Linked DNA regions of Callithrix jacchus. The protein of the gene in region 2 interacts with the protein of the main gene of each other region in a pairwise test. Links are inferred from orthologs where the notes say so. Each region holds a gene or a part of one and is shown on either strand. Other genes may lie near its edges.

The links.
Region 1: the proteins of TLE5 (region 2) and OLIG3 interact in binary tests that used the Homo sapiens proteins (3 or more experiments, as listed by UniProt). The two-hybrid records come from large-scale screens. The link is inferred for Callithrix jacchus from reciprocal best matches to the Homo sapiens genes TLE5 and OLIG3.

What each region holds. Positions count from the first base shown.
Region 1 is NC_133505.1:144,278,391-144,282,135, reverse strand, and holds OLIG3 (oligodendrocyte transcription factor 3), read left to right. Parts: upstream 1-1,496; 5' UTR 1,497-1,717; coding exon 1,718-2,536; 3' UTR 2,537-3,702; downstream 3,703-3,745. UniProt on the Homo sapiens protein: May determine the distinct specification program of class A neurons in the dorsal part of the spinal cord and suppress specification of class B neurons.
Region 2 is NC_133523.1:2,836,722-2,840,466, forward strand, and holds the start of TLE5 (TLE family member 5), read right to left. Parts: upstream 2,563-3,745; coding exon 2,536-2,562; exon of another isoform or gene 2,535-2,535; intron 1,694-2,534; coding exon 1,596-1,693; intron 1-1,595. Other genes in the region: uncharacterized protein LOC128930549, read left to right, coding at 2,561-3,376. UniProt on the Homo sapiens protein: Transcriptional corepressor. Acts as a dominant repressor towards other family members. Inhibits NF-kappa-B-regulated gene expression. May be required for the initiation and maintenance of the differentiated state.

The DNA of each region.
Region 1 (3,745 bases), on a different chromosome or scaffold from region 2:
CGGGATTAATTCGATTTCACACTTCCACCGAGAATCTCAGTCCCGAGCTAGCGTTTGTCTCCCGTTCCTTCAAGCCCGATGAGGGGCGGTGTCCCGGTTCTAGGAAACCACTCCCGGGGCTCTCTCCCTTCCCGAGATTTCTGCCTTTCCACCCCTGGTGCTGCTGAGCTAAAGTCTTGATCGACAAAAACACAGCAAGGGGGAAGAAAGATCTACGCCCACCTCCGCATTCGCACCGAAGGCTCCAAACTCCATGCCTCCTCTTTATTCCCAGAAACGACTCTGCGCTGATCCTCAGTGCCCAGACATGCACGAGGGGCTCTCTACGTACTTTCGTTGTTTCCCTCCCGTGTGCTTCTTTGCCCACCCCTGCCCTCCGACATCAGATAGTTTATTATGAGCTTCTGACTTCACGGTCCAACGCCATACGGCGGCCCCAGTCGAGTGGACCCACCCGCGCAGGCCGGGCTAGCGCTGAGTTCCCGGAACTCAGGTCCCCACCGCAGCCAGAGGCTGCCCCGCGGAGCTTCGGGCGCGGACTGTCCCACGGTCTTCCGCCAGCGCCAAGGTCCGGGAAGCATGGAGCGGGAACAACCTCTCTCAGGAAACTTTGCACGTCCTAACAATCTGTCTCTGCCTCTTTGGCTCCTTTTCCTTCCCACCCTCCCAAGTTGCTTTTCTTGTGACATTTTTTTCCCCTCAATTTTTGGTCTAGGAAGGTAGAGAATTGTGCAAAACTGAAATTATTTCAGTAATCCATGTTTTAAAACTAAAGAGAGGACAAAGAAAATAAAAGATCTCTCAGCCACAATACTGTCAGGGCAATGCCATCACCAAACATGGACATCTCGGTGAAACCACACCAGAAGGGCCCAACAAACAAAATTGACGGAATGGAAGTGTTTAGGAAAAGAGATCTAATTTAAAAAAAAATCTTGAGACAGAAGGTCCGCATGCAGTCTTCCCACCACCCCTGTCCCCACTGGCTGCACTGCCCTCCAATCGCACCCCTGTCCCTCAAACCTTTCCACTGGGACCTCTTTTTGCCCATATTTCTCTAAACTTGGGAGCAGCCATGAAAGGAAGGAGAGCCAATGTTTCAACCCCTCTCTCCAAACCCAGAGGAACCTCCACCAACCACCTGGCCACCTTCTCTTCCCTTCCTTCCGTTCCCGATGTGTGAGTAGGTTAGAGAAACTGAGAAGGGGGGTGGGGTGAAAGTTAAAAAAAAAAAATCAGGAAGGCGTGAGCTGGAGCGGTGAGTGTGTCAATCAGAGGGTTTTGTGCCTGGGGGCTCCTAGCGGTTCGGAGCAGAGGTGTCCCAGGGCGGCCCCACAATGAATATGAATAGGAATCCTTGCTAAATGGGACAGCAAAGCGCACCGCCCTGAATGATGGCACGTCATCCTAACTAGCCCAGGATAGATAGGAGGGCTCCTTTTGTCTCTTTTCTCCGCCACAGCTCTATAAAAGCCCCTCTTTTTCAGCGTGAGGTTAGTTCAAGCACACACCAACTAGCTGTCCAGGAAGCAGCCTAACCAGAGAGAGGGGCGAGGGAGGGAGAGAGGCGGGGAAAAGCAGCATCTCAGCTTTTCTTCTCACGTCTTGCCGCTGAGAAGTGGGTTCCTGGGCTGTGCAGATTTTTTTTAAATTCAAGATTTTCTTTAATTTCCCGCCTAAAGCCTCCCCACGGTAGGGCCGCATCCCCAGTAATAAAATGAATTCTGATTCGAGCTCTGTCTCCAGCAGAGCTTCATCTCCGGACATGGATGAGATGTACCTGAGGGACCACCACCACCGCCACCACCACCACCAGGAGAGCCGTCTCAACTCGGTCTCGTCCACGCAGGGCGATATGGTGCAGAAGATGCCCGGGGAAAGCCTCTCGCGGGCTGGCGCCAAGGCCGCGGGAGAGAGCAGCAAGTACAAAATCAAGAAGCAGCTGTCGGAGCAGGACCTACAGCAGTTGCGGCTGAAGATCAACGGACGCGAGCGCAAGCGGATGCACGACCTGAACCTCGCCATGGACGGACTGCGCGAAGTCATGCCCTACGCGCACGGGCCCTCGGTGCGCAAGCTCTCCAAGATCGCCACTCTCCTGCTCGCCAGAAACTACATCCTCATGCTCACCAGCTCCCTGGAGGAGATGAAGAGGCTGGTTGGCGAGATCTACGGGGGCCACCACTCGGCCTTTCACTGCGGGACCGTGAGCCACTCTGCCGGCCACCCCGCACACGCGGCCAACGCCGTGCACCCGGTGCACCCCATCTTGGGAGGCGCGCTCTCGTCCGGCAACGCCTCGTCACCGCTGTCCGCAGCCTCACTTCCCGCCATCGGCACCATCCGGCCTCCCCACTCGCTGCTCAAGGCGCCCTCCACGCCGCCCGCGCTGCAGCTGGGCAGCGGCTTCCAGCACTGGGCCGGGCTGCCCTGCCCCTGCACCATCTGCCAGATGCCGCCGCCGCCGCACCTGTCCGCTCTCTCCACCGCCAACATGGCCCGGCTGTCCGCCGAGTCCAAGGACTTGCTCAAGTGAGCAGCGGGCGAGCCCGGCTGCCTAGGAGGAGGGAGAGCGGCGGGAGGGGCCGCGGTGCCGGGCCGGGAGGGAAGAGGGAGGCTGTGCGCTCGGCCCACGGGAGGGCGGGCTCCGGGGCCCGCGGCATCCTACCCTGTCTGAGAGATCTCAGACTCCACTTGACCCCGGAGGGAAAAGGACCAAAACCAAACTGCAATTTCTAGGTGGTAGCAAAGGGGGACTCGAACCACACGTCGTGTGTTTTGCATGCATGCTTCTTTTCCCCATGCCGCGCCAGTATTTCTCACTGCCGTATGCTCTTGTCAAAACTGCATTTGTTGTATAAAGATGGGATCGGTGTAGTTAAAAACTTGCGAAGGAACTTTTGAGTTGGCTTTCTCTGACTCTGTGTTCTCGCTTTGGGAAAAGACGGCCATCCCTTTTGTGCAAAACAAATGTAAATATTTTCTTGAGATGGATGCGATTATGATTGTCTCTGTCCTCGCCATAGTTTTTCTAGAGACAATGGAGAGAGAGAGAGAGAGAGAGAGAGAGAGAGAGAGAGAGAGAGAGAGATATCAAGACCCAAGTTTTGAATCTCAACTCCGGTCCAGGGCATGACACCTCCTATGTGGGTTTTCCTTTCGACGCAGTGTAGGTCAAAAGAATGCATGCAGGCTTCTAAATGAATCTTGTCTAAACATGTTGTGCAGGCCGTGGTGCCGTTTTCCTTGTAACAAGGATTTATTAGTGAATTCTTCCAAGTACTCCATATATCTGTCTGTGGTTGTATGAAATGAAAAGGGGCAGAGTGCAAAGACCCACACTCACGCACACGCGCTTCTTCTCCCACCCACATCCCCTTCAAACTTTATTCCGAACCTTCCTCTGCTGTTCCGGAGGCGCCATTGTAAACGCTTGGCTCCCTCTAGTAGCTTGCCCCACCCCCTCGCTCAGTTATTCTGCATGCGGGGTTGGCTCTCTCTATTATCAGCTTTGAAAACTTATTCTGGTTTTGGGAGGGGTGCTGTTTTTATTTTCCTGAACATTTGCTTGAAATATTTTGTTAGGGCCTCAAAGACAATACCTGTCTTTATTTTTTATATATTCTTGATAACTATGATATATTTATTGATAACCAGTGTTTCTGGATGAGATTTCAAATAAAAAAGAACCTTTAAATCGTGGCTTTGGCTTTGCCTAAAATCTTAGCAGATGGGGGTAGTGGCA
Region 2 (3,745 bases):
GCTACTTGGGAGGCCGAGACAGGAGATCACTTGACCCAGGAGGCGGAGGTTGGAGTGAGCCGAGATTGCCCCTCTGCACTCCCGCCTGGGCGACAGCGTGAGACTTGATCCGGCCACCCAGGGGCTGTTATGCCTTGAACATCCAGTGTGTGCCTGATATGGCAGGGCTTTCTGGATAGCAGAAAGCCCAGGCCCAGCAGATGGAGACTCCAAAGCTCAGAGAGGGCGTCTGGCTTACTGGAGGTCACACAGCACTGCGAAGGCCATCTGATCTCTTCCCTGTGGAATCAGGTCAGCCCCAGGGCCCACCAGGCAGTCTCAAACCCTATGCTTCCAGGGACCCAAATAGAAGTTTCTGGGGCCTTCCTGGAAAGCTGGTTCCAGTGCTTTTGACTGTCGGGGTCTCAGTGTGCCCATCTTGAGAATGGGCACGACAGCCGGACCTCACGAGGAAGCACATATGGTCTTTAGCACACAGGGAGTACCCCGAAAGTTTGGATAGTTTCAAAATCGAGATTCCCCTTTCTACTTGGAGGAAGTCCAGGGTCCCTCCAGGATGGGCAAACTGCAGTCAGGAGAGGGCCCCCAGGCTGAAACGTGGGCCTCAGCGTGGCCTGACTTCCTCCAGACTCCCAGGTCTGCTGCGCCCCTCCAGAGCAGGGCACGTGGGAATCTGCATCCTTACACCAGGAGAGAGACCTGGTGCCCACCTCAGCCTTGCCCCTTCCTCAGTGCTGTGGATACTAACCCTGAGGAAATCCCTGACCTCTCTGGGCTTAAGCTTCTTTCTTTTGTTTTCTTTTTTTTTTTTTCTGAGACGGATTCTCACTCTTGTTACCCAGGCTGGAGTGCAATGGCGCGATCTCGGCTCACCGCAACCTCCGCCTCCTGGGTTCAATCAATTCTCCTGCCTCAGCCTCCCGAGTAGCTGGGATTACAGGCACGCACCACTGTGCCCAGCTAATTTTGTATTTTTAGTAGAGACGGGGTTTCACCTTGTTGACCAGGATGGGCTCGATCTCTTGACCTCGTGATCCACCCGCCTCGGCCTCCCAAAGTGCTGGGATTATAAGGGTGAGCCACCGCCCGGCCTGGGCTTACATTTCTTTAAGAGGACTCAATAGTTCCCTCGCCTTAGACCAGCTACATGGCAAACTCTTCAGAAAGGTCAGATTTCTGAAAGGAGAAGCACCTTGGAGAACGTGATGGGCGCTGGGAACCCTTTCTCCAAAACTGGCCAAAGACAGACATAACCAGGTTACAAAATGTGTTTTGGGGTTGGGGGGATGGTGAGTCCAGGCTCTAAGCTGGTTGGCGCAAGGTCTTTTATCCAGCGGGGGGTGGGGGGGGGCTTGGGGGAGACTGGGGAGGAGGGAGGGACTCTGAAGTCACACAGGTGGGTCTTTGGGCAAATTATTTAACTTTTTTGTGCCTCGGTTTCCTCCTCTACAAACTGGGGCTGTTTAAAGAAAGGAATTCAGTATTTGTCAAGCGATTCGGTCGGAGCCTAGCACACGTTATTTTCCCAATCTGCCGTCCGTGCAGAACAAGGGGGCTCACCCTCTCGGGCGCAGGGACCCCGACCCGCCCCTCACCTGTGGTACTGAGCTTGCAGGAGCTGAAACTCGTCTTTGATGCGGTCGCAGGAGTCCGAGGTGGTGAATTTGAGTTGCTGGGGTAGGTGCGAGGAGCCCTGTGGGGAGGGGGGCGCCCCGGTCAGGCCCAGGCGTGGGCCAGGCCCCCCTCAAGGGCGGGCCAGGAGGGAGCGGCCGCGCAGCTGCGGCGCCCCCCCTCCTGCCCCACTTCCTGGGCCCGTGTTTACCGCCCCTGGCAAGGCCCCCACCCGCGCTTCCTGCCCCCGCCTCTCCCCGGGGGAAGCTGAGGGGGTGGGTGCGCCCGGAGCCGCCCCGTCCCCCGCCACCCCCAGGCAGTGGGGGGTGCGTTTTAAGGCCCGCCCTAGGTGGGGGGCAGGGTACGCCCTCTACCGCCCCTCCAAAGCGCCGGGAGTGGGTGCCTCCGAGGGGGGTGGAAACGCGCCCTAGGGAGCCCCCTCCCCAAGTTGAGGGGCAGCGAGTCCCCCCTGCAAAGTCCCCTTGGGGAAGGGGGTCTCTCTCGGCGCCCTAAATCTTCCGGGGGGGAGCCCACCCCAGAATCCCAGCGCCCTTCCTCGGGGACGCGCTCTCTTCCGGGAGGGGGGACGCCTCGGATTGTCCCCCCCACCACAGGCCCCCAAAGGAGCCCCGCGCTGGAGGTGCCTGGCGGGGCTCCCGGAGATCCCCAGGCCCGAGGCCAAGGCCGTCCGAGGCCCTGCCTGTCCCGGCGGGCGGGGGGGGGGGCGCCAAGCCGGGAGCTGGGGGGGGGTTCGGGGCCCGGAAGCTGGGGGAGAATCGGGAACTGAGGGGGTGTCCGGGGGTCGGCGGCAGGACGGGGGTCGCGCGGGGCTCGGAGCCCGAGAGGGAAGCCAGGGCCCGGGAGCTGGGGGGGCGCGGGGCGGGGGCGCGGGGAGGGGGCGCCGGGCGGGCGGGCCCCGCTTACCGAATGCCTGCTTTGTGGAAACATCATGTCAGTCGCGGCGGGGGGCGCGGGCTGCGCCCCGGCTGTGCGCCCCGGCTCGGGCTGCTCGGGGCGCCGGGCGGCCGCGCCTTTGTCCCGGCGCGGATCGGCAGCTCCCGGGGCCGCCGCCGCCGCCTCCCGCGCCCGGCCTCGCCCGCTTCCTGCGCCCCCTCCCCGCGCGCCCGGCCCCGGCGCGCCCCGGGCCCCGCTTCCTGCGCGCCCGGCGCCCCTCCCCGCCCCTCCCCGCCGCCCGCCTCCCCGCTCCCCGGCCCCACCGCTATTGTCTAATGGCGGCGACGCCGGCGGTGGCCGCGGCTCGGCTGCTGCGGAGGCTCCGGCTCCACCTGCCGCCGCCGCCCGTGCCCCGTGCGCGCCGCCGAGGGGGGGGACGCGCGCGCCCGGGGAGGCCTGCGGATCCCCACCCCGGCCCGCCTCCCCGGGGCCCGCCCGCCGCGGTGACCTTGGGCCCGGCGCGCCCCCGCCCCGGGCCGCGGCCCCCGCCACCCGCCCCAGCCTGGCGGCCGGCCTGGCCTCGGTTTCCCCATCTGTCAGAGAAAGGGACCCGGCTGCCCAGGTCGAAGCCGCCGGCCCTGCGGTGGCACGACCTGGACGCGTGCCAGGGACGTATTCTGTGACCTTGGCTCTGGCTGGGCGGTGGTTCTCGCCGGGCCTCAGTTTCCTCTTCTGCAGAAAGGCAGCGGTCATGCCGCCTTCCTCAGGGAAGCCATTCTTTGGACACCTTTATGGAGGGCCTGTGTGCCAGGCCCGGCTGCTCCAGGGCCCTGGGGTGGGTGGGGGGGGTACAAGGCCCCTGCCCTGGTGAGGTGCCTGGAGACAGACAGAGATAAATTCAGGAGCTGAATTCCCAGCAGGTCAGATGGTGGGGACGCCTCTGCGGGGAAAATCGGCTGGGACAATGGCGGGGTAGGAAGGTGCAAGGTTGAACAGAGGGCAGGGAGGGTCAGAGAGGGCTTCCTCCTCCACAAACGGACCCCAAGGAGCGAGAACAGGGGATGGGGGCAGTGCCAGTCAGAGGCAGGACGAGCAGGTGCAAAGGCCCTGGGGCAGGACTGTGCCTGGCACCAGGATGCCCGGGATGGAGGCAGGGCCTGGGCCTGGGGCTTCATGCTGTTGCCCAGGCCCCCTGCCCCCAGCAGGGCTTCTGCCTGGGTGAATCTTTACTGCTGCGTTT